Linked DNA regions of Mytilus edulis. The protein of the gene in region 1 purifies or fractionates together with the protein of each later gene. This does not show direct contact. Links are inferred from orthologs where the notes say so. Each region holds a gene or a part of one and is shown on either strand. Other genes may lie near its edges.

The links.
Region 2: the proteins of WD repeat-containing protein 19-like (region 1) and intraflagellar transport protein 43 homolog A-like purify together in Homo sapiens (affinity purification with mass spectrometry; 3 studies listed by BioGRID and IntAct, counting the BioPlex papers as one, with this or other methods). This does not show direct contact. The link is inferred for Mytilus edulis from reciprocal best matches to the Homo sapiens genes WDR19 and IFT43.

Annotation. Positions count from the first base shown.
Region 1 is NC_092351.1:26,542,600-26,549,506, forward strand, and holds the start of WD repeat-containing protein 19-like, read left to right. Parts: upstream 1-3,905; 5' UTR 3,906-4,016; coding exon 4,017-4,022; intron 4,023-6,907. UniProt on the Homo sapiens protein: As component of the IFT complex A (IFT-A), a complex required for retrograde ciliary transport and entry into cilia of G protein-coupled receptors (GPCRs), it is involved in cilia function and/or assembly.
Region 2 is NC_092346.1:63,096,124-63,103,371, reverse strand, and holds the start of intraflagellar transport protein 43 homolog A-like, read left to right. Parts: upstream 1-4,238; 5' UTR 4,239-4,292; coding exon 4,293-4,394; intron 4,395-4,465; exon of another isoform or gene 4,466-4,570; coding exon of another isoform or gene 4,571-4,612; intron 4,613-5,806; coding exon 5,807-5,938; intron 5,939-6,661; coding exon 6,662-6,720; intron 6,721-7,248. Other genes in the region: uncharacterized protein, read right to left, coding at 831-863, 1,627-1,803. UniProt on the Homo sapiens protein: As a component of IFT complex A (IFT-A), a complex required for retrograde ciliary transport and entry into cilia of G protein-coupled receptors (GPCRs), it is involved in ciliogenesis.

The DNA of each region.
Region 1 (6,907 bases):
ATATATATTGAATAGAAAAAATGCCGTTTCGCGAACTGTCTAAAGAATTAAAGGGAAGTGCATCCACTGTGTTTTCAGAGCTCCTCACCTACATAGTGCAGATAATACAAATTATGATTATCCTTTATATTCCATCTTGCAGTTCTAGCCAATCACCGAAATTTCTGAACTTGGAGCTCATTAGAAGGGAGGAGATGTTCTTTTAGCTTTAAAAATGATAATGGTGCGGTCGTGTCACAATCATCTATCTATCTCTGATATTGAATCATTGCCAAAGCTGCCAAGATCTTGCATTGGCACAAGATTAACCATAAGTTAGATAAAATTGAGAATGGAAATGGGGAATGTGCCAAAGAGACAACAACCCGACCATAGAAAAAAACAACAGCAGAAGGTCACCAACAGGTCTTCAATTAATGTAGCGAAAAATTCCCGCACCCGGAGGCGTCCTTCAGCTGGCCCCTAAACAAATATATACTAGTTCAGTGACAATGAACGCATACTAAATTCCAAATTGTACACAAGAAACTAAAATTAAAATAATACAAGACCAACAAAGGCCAGAGGCTCCTGACTTGGGACAGGCGCAAAAATGCGGCGGGGTTAAACATGTTTGTGAGATCTCAACCCTCCCCCTATACCTCTAGACAATGTAGAAAAGTAAACGCATAACAATACGCACATTAAAATTCAGTTCAAGAGAAGTCCGAGTCTGATGTCAGAAGATGTAACCAAAGAAAATAAACAAAATGACAATAATACATAAATAACAACAGACTACTAGCAGTTAACTGACATGCCAGCTCCAGACTTCAATTAAACTGACTGAAAGATTATGATTTCATCATATGAACATCAGGCACAATCCTTCCCGTTATGGGTTTAGTATCATACCATCATAACATATATGAGAAGAAGAGTTTACTAGAACATTTCAGGAAGGATGTGTTGAAAGTACAATTCCCTCCACCCTTCTTAAGGATTGTATGGTGAATGATTGAGAATGAATCTGAGATGAAGTCACAATTTTGCTATAGTGCATACAAGACAGATCTAACAATAGCTCATATTTTACAGTATAATTGATGTACAGAGAAGGAACAGCAACTCACAGGCATTAAGGAGACCACGAAACCCAATTTGCAGTGTTTTATTTAGGGATGTCTGTCTAACACTAGAAGGAGACTTCTTTGAGAAGGGCTACATGAACATTGCCTTATCATTCCGTATGACTGGGTGCCATAAGCCCTTCTAGAAGATGAAGCATTAAGGAAATATATAGAAAAACATGGGAGTAGTTTGTACGACAGTCTTAATGAAAAGCTTGTTTCCTACAGCTGCAACATAGATCATAATTCAACTGTAACGACAGTAACAACTTTTTTTTCCATAGAACAAGCATTTCACTCTTCCAGCATCCATCAGCTGACAATGCAGTTGAAAAACGTGAGTTATTTCACAGTAAAGACAGCAGGATTAAGGCAGCAACCATTTGATTTTCTGGGGGGGGGGGGGGGCTATGGTTTTTTTTGGAAAAAAAAGTTTGTTTCCAGTTTTTGGAGAAAAAAATAATTTGTTTTTGATTCTGAGAAAAAAAAATTGTTTGTTTCACCCTCAGCTGCCACTATATGTAATGCTAAAATTGAAAGAAAAAAATTGTTTTCGACTTGTCGCGAAAAAAATAGATTGTTTTTCGCCGCAGGCGAAAAAAAAAATTTGTCCAGAAAAAAAACCCATAGCCCCCCCAGAAAATCATATGGTTGCTGCCTAAGAGGGTTCCTGAACTTTCTTATTCTTTTGACCATATATACCATACTTTCATCACGAAAAGGAATCCAACTCCATCAAAAGCCAATTTCCCTTGGGAATTTAACTAAAATAAATGCAAAAGTGATTTGGCTGTTGAGCATTAAGGGCTTGAGAAAAGAAACCGAAAAGAGGCATCTGTTGAAAACGACAATATAACATGGTCGGTGGACCATGCCTCCAAAAAGGTGTCCAGTATTTGGTGTGAGTACTAGTGTATCATCGCTGTAACCTATCGGCTATTACCAAGTCCATTCAGCGGCCACATTACGGCATGTCATTGACGTGATTAAAAAACACGGTTGTATATTTGAATCCATTTCAAACATCTGTTATTGCTACTGATGAGCCAATCTACACATTAACAAAACAAAATGCAGTGACATTGACCCAAAATTATGACGAGGACAAGTTTATTCATTATGTCTTGGGGTTTGCACGTTGAAACGGCAGCATTTAAGACCATTGGTAATCTGCTTGATGATAATTAAGGAATTAACAGGAACCAAGTTTGAGGCAGAGATTGCTTCCTCGGGAACAACGTAATTCTTTTTGTCTGCATCACGTGTCACTTGGACACAGTAAATAACCAGGTTACAGTAAGCACACTCTACAAGCTACTTAAAGAAGCCAATAAGTGTTTACTTACTGTTTAATGTCAGAGGTCAGTGAACAAACTCAGGATGTGCTAAGTATCGTAGACTGGTTCGAAAGACGCAAAACTGAAAGTCCACAATTTCAATTCTGAATCTAATGTTGACAATTGAATTAAAAAAATGCACGATGAGACATGAAGTTATTTGATCCTACACATCATCAGCTGGCTGCAGAATTCCATAACGAAAAATTTATTTTTTCACAAATCTAATTGTGAATTTTCAGCGTTGGATAATGGCCAATTACATGAGCAAGCACATGTTGTTATCAAAGGTGATTGTGGTGCCATTGATGTGTCACTTGGTTAATGTTTCTCAGTATGAATCGGCATCTGAAGCCACGAGTGCCAATGAAAGTACCAGACATCACGAACAGGCAGAACACACACAACATTTCATCGATAAATTACAGAAGCTGTATACTGTTATGAAAGATATGGGCAATCTATAAATGGGAGAGACTGATGACCTTTTTACACTAGGTACATAACAAAATGTGTTGCCAACTTAACTATGCGGTATGGGCTTTGTTCATTGTTGAAGGCCGCACGGTGACCTATAGTTGTTAATTTTTGCCAGACTGACATACATAATAAAATGTTTTAACATACCAAATATAGTTGACCGATTTCATATATAATTAGAAGAAAAAAAACATGAGAAACTGGGAAATGGTTGTGTGCAGTAGAAAATTTATGGGTATGAGATTAACTTAAGTTGGGTCGACTGTATGAGAAGGATATATGACAGAAGGAAACTATGTCAATATATATAATGGAATTTGATGCGACTGTTATACAAGTGAGAGTCAAGTTAAGCTAGCTATAAAACCAGGTTCAATCCCCCATTTTCTACATAAGAAAATGCCTGTACCCTGAAGTCGGGAATATGACAGTTGTTTTGAATTCGATTGATATGTTTGAGCTTTCTATTTTGCCATTTGATATAAGATAAGATAGATAAGATATATTTTATTTCCAATTAAGAGCCCACAAGGGGCATTTAGAGAATACAAGTATAAGGAAAAAGAACATTGATTAGCATAGATACATCATATAATTTACATACCATGACAATCACGATACAATTAGACTGTAAATAATAAAACCCTTGGTCTATAATATATAAATATATTTATATGAGAAATTAATACATCTAACATCATATTGACTTGAATAAATTTTCCAACCGAGCATTAAGAATGATCACAGCTTAAATACATAAATATTTTTTTGCTGATATAATAATTGTTCTTGTAATCCTCGAGAAATCGTGGTACCGTCAACCCTCTATAATATAAACTTGTTTGATAGATTTAACGATGCCGCCGCCGGATCACTATCCTTATATAGAGCTTTCTACTGCTTGACAACGATTATAAATTTCGGAGGTGTACCTTATATGGAGGAAGTTATACAAATATCACGAGTTATCTACCGTAATGGGATTCTCCAATCTAAGAAAGCACAAAACGACCCGCATTCCACAGCGGTCTGTATCCAGTGGTGAATATGTATACAAATCTTTGAAAAATATCAACTACAAGCTATCACAATGAAGGTAACTATCTAAACAGTTTGATGTACTTTAATGGTCAAGCACCAATGAAAATAAAATATTTATATATACCCAAAAGTCGACACTGAAAGAGGTCAAAACAAAAGAGCATTTTGACTTTTTTTGCCATTTTGGTATAATTTTTTCATTTTTGTGTCTGGATAAATTTTATGATTTTCCGATTTCATAATTCTTATCAAGGTATGAAAATGTTTAAATATGCCAACCCTCCCCTTACCATTGACAATACATATATGGCTCTTGTGTAAGGTTTGTCAATTTTATTTAAAATCTGATATCTGATGGGAAAGCAAACTGGGATCAGATTAAAACAGACATAAATATGATAACAAAGGACATCCATAATCATATACACGATATGCCAATAGATAAAACCTGGCAAACCTTCAAGAACGGTGTACAAGCAACAATTGACACCAACGTACCATCTAAAATGATAAAGAAAAAGCACTCTGTCCCATGGTTAAACAGAAAACTGCGCAAAATGCTAAAACGGAAAGCTAGGTTGCACAAACATGCTAGAAAAACTGGAAGTTACAAAGAATATAAACAATTCCAAAAAGACTGCAAACGCCAATTTAGAAAAGCAGAATGGAACTATATTAATGACATCATCAATGCAGGTTTTGAAAAGAATAGTTCTAAACCATTCTGGAACTACATGAAAGCAAAGAAACAAGATAATATAGGAGTAGCACCACTAAAGTCAAATGGAGGCCTTACAAACGACAGCAAAGAAAAGGCAGAAATTCTAAACAACCAATTCAAATCAGTATTCACTAAATTAGATCCGAACTCACAAATACCACCACTAAAGAAAAGATCAACTTCAAATATTTCAAAATTGGACATAACATCAGAAGGAGTACATAAATTATTGAAAAACGTAAATCCATCCAAAGCAATGGGACCAGACGGAATACCAAACACTGTCCTTAAAACATGTGCAGAAGAACTCGCACCAAGTATATCCGCCATCTTTCAAAAATCAATTGACACAGGCACTCTCCCTGAAGATTGGTTAAGTGCAAACATAGCTCCAGTATTTAAGAAGGGGGACGTCCAGGCAGCTGAAAATTACAGACCAGTCTCACTGACCTGTGTATCATGTAAGCTTTTGGAACACATCATCTGTAAACACATCCTTAAACATCTGGAAAAGCACAAAATACTGACAAATTTAAATCATGGATTCAGATCAGGTTACTCTTGTACAACACAGCTCTTAGTCACAACAGAAGACCTACTAAAGAGCTTCGACAGTGGCATTCAACTTGATATGGCTATACTCGACTTTTCAAAGGCTTTTGATACTGTGCCACATAACAAACTTCTGGCAAAACTAAACAGCTTCGGAATAGATGGAAATCTGAACAAATGGTTAGCAGCATTTCTGCAAAAACGATCAATGCGGGTTGTCGTAGAAGGTGAGCACTCAGAATATGCCCACGTAGACTCTGGCGTACCACAAGGCACAGTACTAGGACCGCTGCTTTTTCTATGCCACATCAACGACCTCCCGGAAAGCGTAAAATCTCAAGTTCGTTTATTTGCAGATGACTGCCTACTTTATCGAGAGATCAAAAACACAAAAGACCACCAAACTCTCCAAGAAGATCTAAAAGCTCTGGAAGTATGGGCACTAAATTGGGGAATGAAATTCAACGCAAAAAAATGCTATATAATGAGCTTCAAACAAAAATCAACACACTTCTACCAACTAGACAACCACATACTAGAACAGGTACAAACTAATCCTTACCTAGGTCTTAACATATCTGATGACCTAAAATGGACCAGCCACATAGGGAAAACAACAAGCAAGGCAAGCTGTACACTGGGGTTCCTGAGAAGAAACTTACGCCAGTGCCCCCAAGAGTGCAAAAAACTTGCCTACTTAGCCATGGTTAGATCCGTACTAGAATACGGTGCTGTCATCTGGGACCCATTCACCATCAGGGAAATAGAAAAAATAGAAAGCATACAGAAAAGAGGAGCACGATTCATTCTGCACGACTATAAATCCAGAGACACCGGATGCGTCACAAATATGCTTTCTAAGCTAAAACTGCCACCTCTCCAAGAGCGAAGGAAACATCAGAGGCTGACTATGTTCTACAAAGTGGTTGAGGGATTGGTGCCGGCTATTGATCCAACAGATTATCTACAAAAGACAAGAAATAAACGCCAAGTGAAAGCAAAAAACTTTAGTGACTTCCAATATTCAAACATAGTGGAAAGACAAGAAACCAGAAATAGCAGATCGTATAAATTAATAGACTGCAAAACAGACATTCGTAAGAACTCTTTTTTTCCAAAAACAATAGTTGAGTGGAACCATCTGGACGAGGTAACTGCATGTCAAAAGACAGTTGAGGGTTTCATGGCTGCCCTCCAACGGTTGGACTAACCAACCCGCTCTCCTTCCAGTGCGCATATATCCGCGATCGGATCCTGCACTGTGTAACATACAGATACAGATACAGATGTCTTCCTATCTTATCTTTGTGAAAGTACAAAGAGAAAATACAAACGTGATTAATGTATTCAAACGCGCAAGTGACCAAAGTACATATGAGAAAATCAGTGTCAAGATGACGCATACTAAAGACTAAAGACTATCTTATCAACTCCATGATTTTTATTTTTCAGCAAATATGTACATTTTGATGATAGTATCATACATCCAATTATATGAAACGACTTTGTAGAGGAATGGATTTTACAGTTTGAATTAATTACAGCTTTTTGCTAACTGTACAGAAATTATAATTTGAGAAAGGAGTCTTTATCATAGTCAGTTCAATGCACATGGTCACAAGAAGTATGCTACCCAATAGACCACTTTTGAGTTCATCCGTCACTGG
Region 2 (7,248 bases), on another chromosome or scaffold:
AAGGAGATGTAGGTATACTTCAATGAGAAAGCAAAACATCGAAATAAGAACAAAAAGATATATGCGAGTCAATGTAAAGTTTTTATCAAAAGACATATGTCTTTACAATATGTCATGCTCTAAATTGTTCTGCTGAATTGTTCCAATAAAACGCTTTCAATTCCAAAAAAATACTACTTTATTTTTACTAGCATATATTAACCTGAAAATAAGGGGCAAAAGTATGGAACACCACAACTTAAAACATAGTGCCGCTGCTTTATGTGTCTTTATCTAATTAAATGTTTCACATCGGGTGATAAAGTGTATACATACATTTCTATTGTTTAGGTCTCTGTGTTGAAAAGATATTCTTGTGTTATAAAAAAAAACCTATGTAACATTCTTTTTAGTACTTTTAATTTAGGATATTTTTAAATCTCCTTGAAAAGAATACAATTAGTTCTGTCATGGACACCTGATCAGAGATACCATTTAATTAAACAAGTTTATTAACGTTTGACAAAAGATATGATCTAAAATTATGTAATACAGCCTGTATGAAAATACAATTCAATTCTTTATTAACCAAATACATGATAAGAACAAATGTGACATAAGATACCATAATGAATATATCAAATAAAAAATAATTAATCACTAGTGAATGTCACTGAAGAAATGAAAAAAGTTTTGAAATTCTATATCAATCACTTAGTCTAAACTGTGTAATCATAAACAGACATAATGTGCAATCGACTATGCTGACGTAAGTGCTCTTTCACCATTGCAACGTGAAGCTAAAATTTCAAAACCAGAAAACCCCTCAATGAACTCATAATGTATTTTACCCGAGCATTCTCATCATGATTAGTTCGTTTCCACTGAAATATACATAAATTGATGATGACTGTGTTCAGTATTTAAGATTCAGTTCCCAAATTAAAGAAAAAATGAAATCAAGGGGTGTGTTAATGTAGATATATATATAGAAACAAAATTGTAATTAACATCTTGCATCCAAATCAGCAGTTACATCTTATTTTTGAAACTGCCGCTTTTGCATGATTAAATGGTCATTATTGTCCACATATTGTCCAAAATATATGGTATGATTAACTAAGTCAGACAACTATCCATTGCAAACCTATAGGACAAGAGTGTTAACAAAAACATGCCACTCTAGGGCCTTTGACAGTGAGTACATTCATCCGGTTACCGTATATAGTAAGATATATAAAAGGACCGTTTGATAAACACTCTTGATCTACCGTTTTAAAGTTTGGCTATGCTGTTGTTTGTTTTTATTGGACATAAAATTGGAGATAGCCCTCAAAAATTGATATTCCTCACTCCTTTTTCAATGCTTAGTTACATTTTTTTTTAATTCTCATCTATAGTTAGCCTTTTATCCCTACGGGGTCATGGATATTATATATTTTGGGGGTCTCAATACTTTGATAACTTGGCCAAGCTTTCCGCAATGATAAAAATGATTAAACTTGTCAACAGGATCATAAGCAACTATATTTATTAACAAAATATACAACTTGAGTAATTTGACGATTCAATATATATTAAACAATGTAAAACTATACCTGCAAAACATTTTCATAAATAATGAATGCACATAAGTTATAAACTTACAGGAAAATCTGTTTCATAACTGGTGCCGAATACACTTTTGGAAAGTCCTTTTGGTGTAAAATTATATTCTCCCTCCTTTAAAACACAACTTTTAGATAAATTTCGTCTGATTTCTTCCACTCGTAAATTCCTGTCTGGACCATATAAGCGATTTCTCCTTGCATCTATGGATTCCATTTTGGTATGTTTCGAATTCTTTACTATCCCAAATGTAGATTACAATATCCTAATCTGACAACATCATCGGTAATGTTGGTTTGTTTTTCTTTATTTTATTGGGATTATATTTTCACCTGTTACATACTTAATAATTTAATAACAAAGACATAATGATCCAATTTCGAATTAATACTATTGTCTTCGGTCGCCAAGGAGATGACCCGCTAATCCACCCGAATAATGCAATTAATACGATACTTTTGATTGAATTAAGTAGACGTGTGATCCCTTCGGTTTCTTTATGCTCTAACGGTGCACTTCATAAATTAAGAAAATATTTCATTAAGTCTGTTAACATTTAGTTACTGATTTTTAATTTTGTATATTAGTATAAAATTTAAAAGTCCGATACGGTTCCACCAGACAAAGTCAATAGTTAATACAAAGCAAGTTTGATAACATTTGGGATATTTTACAATTGAGCACAAAAACATATGATATTTGATAATAAGGTTAAATTATTTAACCCTTTTCTTTATTAGCATGTTTATCATACTCATACAGTGAGAAAAACGTTAATTCAATGGCTAATCTGGTCTGTGCTTCATCTAGGTTTAAAGCTGCCAAAACTACAATGAATTCAGATTAAAGTTAAATTCCATTTTAGAAATAATTCTCAAACAAAATATGATCATTGAAATAAAGTTAATGCGGTTTAGATTAATGAAATGTATTTTAATGTATTCGTCTGTTTAGGAGAGAATATATTTGGGAACAATTGTTTTACAAAATTTTGAAATGTCTGTCATATCATTGAGTTGTCATCATAAATTTTGAACTGTTACGTAATTGTATTTTTCTTCACACAATATATACCTTATATGGCTTATTTATGATTGGCATATATTCATATTAGATAACGTAAAGTTTTAAGCTCAGAGGAGGTAATTATAACACTAGGTATGTTATATCATTCTATACGTTGTTGATGGTACAATGTACTTCACAAATATGGTTATTACATGCTCTGATATATTATGCATTGTCATTCTATACAATGGTCGATGACATTCAAATATAATTTTGAGTACTAATAAATATAGATTGTTTTCATTCCTGTCTCAATATCAACCAAATACTCCAATATTTTTTCAATAATTTTGGCCATACGGTCATGCAGGATCTGAAATGGCACACTGATCGATGATGATGTCTAACACCGCTGCATGAGCATTTCCTGAAGTGGATTGAGATTATAAAAGAATTAAATGATTAATCACATGCAAAGTGATTTGCAGTTTTTAAGTATATATAGTCTTAACATTGTAAACTTCTGAAGATGAATGAAGAATAAGAATTGAAACAAAAAAAAATCAAAAAAAAAGAGTAGAATTGATACTTCAAATGAAGAACATTAATAATATATTACATGTGTGTTATATGGGATAAAAATGAGGATATAAGTAACTGAGACCAAACACTAACACATTTGTAAAATTGTCATTTTTAAACAATCTAAAATATGTTTAAACTGAAACTAACACAAAGTGAAAAGGCAAAATTTCGTCTTCCACAATTGAGAAATGTCTATTCCACTACGCGAATCTTAATGTTACCGTAATTTTAGAGAATTAATAGTTGAGGATCCTGGATTTAATCATATCTTTATTTTCATCTTAATTCATACTTTTATTCACATTTTTATTCACATTTTTGTATGGTTAAAGTATCTCTTATAATCTATCACAGGAGACATTTGAACAAATAATCGCCGAGTACTTAGTGAGATCAGAAGAGGCAAACGGTTCTAGATAAACTGGACAATTTGAATAACCAGCGATATCTTTATACATCATCAAATATTATCATGTGAGTAATACATCATATGTTACAGTGAGGTATGGATTTTTGTTGCCTGTTTGAAACTAATTTAGTGTGAGAACCAGGCGTAATTGACTTTGAGCACGGTAAACTTATCATGACGAAAAGCGGTCAATAGTATGAACAAACAACAGATTTTTCTGTAAAACAATATTTCCCCGTGATTTTTTATTTTATTTCTGATTCTTCCATAGTATGCTATCTGAGGCTTTTGTTACATTGACTCAGTTTGTTTCATTGACATTTGTCCCGAGTGAATATCTAGAAGTATCATTTGTAACCCATTTGTAATACTAGATAAACAAGTTCCTAGGGAAATTCCCATGTTCTACCCGATGATAAGCCCTTTCCAATATTTTGTCAATGAGTATTGTGGCTGTATTATGGCTGCAATAAATTAATATATATATAAGCACCTGATATATTGTTACTTTAAACTTTATCTACTAAGCACACTTATATTATTGATCACATGTGTTATCATACTTAAATAAGAACAAAACTATTCATGACATTTAAAACAAATGTACTAAACATGTGCACACTTTATATGAAACAATTAATATTAAGGAATGAAACAATGAGGAGATTAAATATGCTCCAGGACAACGATTGATAGCCTTATTATGGAAAGCGCAGCTAAAGTGTTAAACACAGGGATCGTTAATGTTCTTGCTTCAAATGTATCAAACAACACAGGTTTATTATTCCCACATTTTAAATTGAAGGTAAACTATAAATATCTATCATCTATGACACAGTAAGATATTTTCCGGAGACAAACCGTCATCGACTTGAAATTACTTTTCTCAACCTAAGTTTTCTCCCTTAGATAAACACATTCCATGACAGCAGTAATATTTGTAAATTGCTCAGTTGATCACTTAAATTACAACTGATAGAAATGGCAGATGATTTTGATTTTGGCGAATCAAAGAATGCTAAGGTAAATTTAGGTTATACCTGTCAAAAAAAACTGTTTCCTACACGTAAAAATTATAACCTAATCATGAATTTATAAAAATATCTTTGACATGTTTGATACATTTCTGTGAGGTTTTTTTTAGTTAGAATTTTGGCTTTAGGTAAAAGTAGAAGGAATTGAGAGTAGGGAGAGGGAAAAAAAGTAGGAAAGGGGGAAGGTTAGAAACCAAGATACTCCTTGCCCCCTTTTTATTACAATGTAGCTATAGAGGGTAACGAAAGGGTACCCAAATTGCACCGAGTACCCAAATTGCACCTATTTAGAAAAAATTGCAACGGAAATCTTACAAGATTTCCTAGAGACTAAACAATTTGTATTTTTATGATTCGATACTATGCACGTCTTTCAACATAGGTAAACATATTTAGATATACACAAAACGTTCACAGTCTTTATCAACAGATGGACTGTTTACTGAAAAAGCAAAATGTACGAAAACGTCACCATGCGACGTCATCAAAACGTCATCTTTTTAAAATTAGCAAATACAATATATTATAAGTATCCATTTCGTAAAATATGAGGAGTAAGCATGGACGAATATCCAATTGTTCAAAATATTTGAAGAAATTAAACAAAAGCTCGGTTATTAGACTTTTGACGATGTGAATTTAAGCATGGATGCAATTTGGGTACTCCTCATTACAGAATCATGGATAGTTTGGAGGTTGATTCAAACCCATTTTTTTATGACTCAATATGGATTAAAAATCAAAATGGTGTACCTATACAATAAAGAAGGATAAGGCTACAAAATAAACCCAGTATGGACATTTTTTTCTTGATCATAAAACAACGTAGGTGAAAAAACTGTCAAAATAGGTGCAATTTGGGTACCGTCACGTTAGAAATGCCAGGCGTCAAACAACCATTTGCAGCTACCGTTAGCATCAAATTGGTTAAAGTTTTACCTTGACTTGTCAAAATTTCCCTATCAAAATTTGTTAGAGGTTAAAAATAATAATCTTTTGTGTCAATTTTGGAAAAAATGAATGTGATACATTTGTAAGTCAAAATTAGTTGATTTTTATTTTGTCTACAAAAAAAGTGTACATTTTATCGTCATGCACCAAAGAACTTTTACCACTATTTATCATGAAGGTACCCCCATTACTACTGTCATGTATGTGTCTTATCATTTTATTTTGATTATAGGGTACTGCTAAAACAGGGAGAAGAGCCCAACAGAAAACAGCAAATCCACCAGATGCTCCTGATTTTGAAGCTAGCGTAGAAAACTCACCAAAGGCACCAAAGTCAAGACAGCCGGCTGGAAGACAAGAACCTGTAGGTTTTCTTTATAGTCAGACAACATTTTGACATTAAAAGAAAAAAATGTCACATTTTATACATGAATTACCCCAAAACAAAACATTAATGAATTTACATATATAAAATAAGGATTTATATAACTATCAGTCACATTGAAATGAAGATCCTGTGTTCATGTTTTACTACTAATATATGTATATGACAAAGCTCAGCTGACACTCATGTTACATATTTAAACATATTATATCGTGAATAACATTGGTAGATTTAATGATTATCAAAACAGAAGGTAAAATCAAGTACTAACAAATCATCAAAAGTCAAAAATTGACTCCAGATTTGTATTTGAATCAAATTACTATGTATGAAATATTGAAAATGATGTTGACATGTAACACCTTAATCTAAAAAAAGTGTGTGCCTGTCTGATATTGCCACTCCAGCTGTGCATAGTGTCCTATGGGCACATATTCTTGTTATAACATGCCATAATTATAAGCAACCTGAATTTAGTAAGAATATATAATTTGAATATCATCATTATTTTACAAGTCAAAGATACTTTCTACTCTCTTGAATGGTTTTATATACAAATTTAGGAAACAAGATACATTTGTAGATTTCTTTAAGTCATGTAAGTGTTTTAATATTTAGCACAAGTTCAGAAACAATTATTGTATATATATGCTACCAAAAAAGAATAATCTTATCCATTTTAAAGATCTGTTAATATTTCAGGATGAGCCGCCGAAGCCCTCAAGAGTGTCTGGATGGGGTGAAGATAATCCTCGTAAAAGGTAAGCAATATAAAGCATTAACGCCTTAAATTGAATGTAATCAGCTACAATGATTGAAAATGCAAATATTAAATTGCATAAACTTAAGAGAGAGGAGAAAATGCAAAGGCTTCGTGAACTTTTCACCTAGTACTTAGTGAGCATAAAGGAGTATCATATTTTTGACAATTCAATAACAAGACCCCAGTAATGACACTAAAATGAAACTGTCTTTGAATATAATATAACCATGTGCTATTAAAAGCAGCATTAAAAACGTATACAAATATGATATTAATTATTTGTGCACTTGTATTTGTTTGTAGAAATACTGATTGTAGGATAAGAAGAAAATATAACATTAGTACTTGAGGCAGCAAACTTACATGTACAAAAAAGACTTAAATATGAATACCATAAGGGCAGAGCTTCCAAAAAATATTTGAGCCACTGATACATTTTAGGTCTTATCATTAGGCCATCTTATATATTTACTCACTAGCTTCATATACATAAACATTGCTTGTTTTTCATTTAAAATAATTTGTA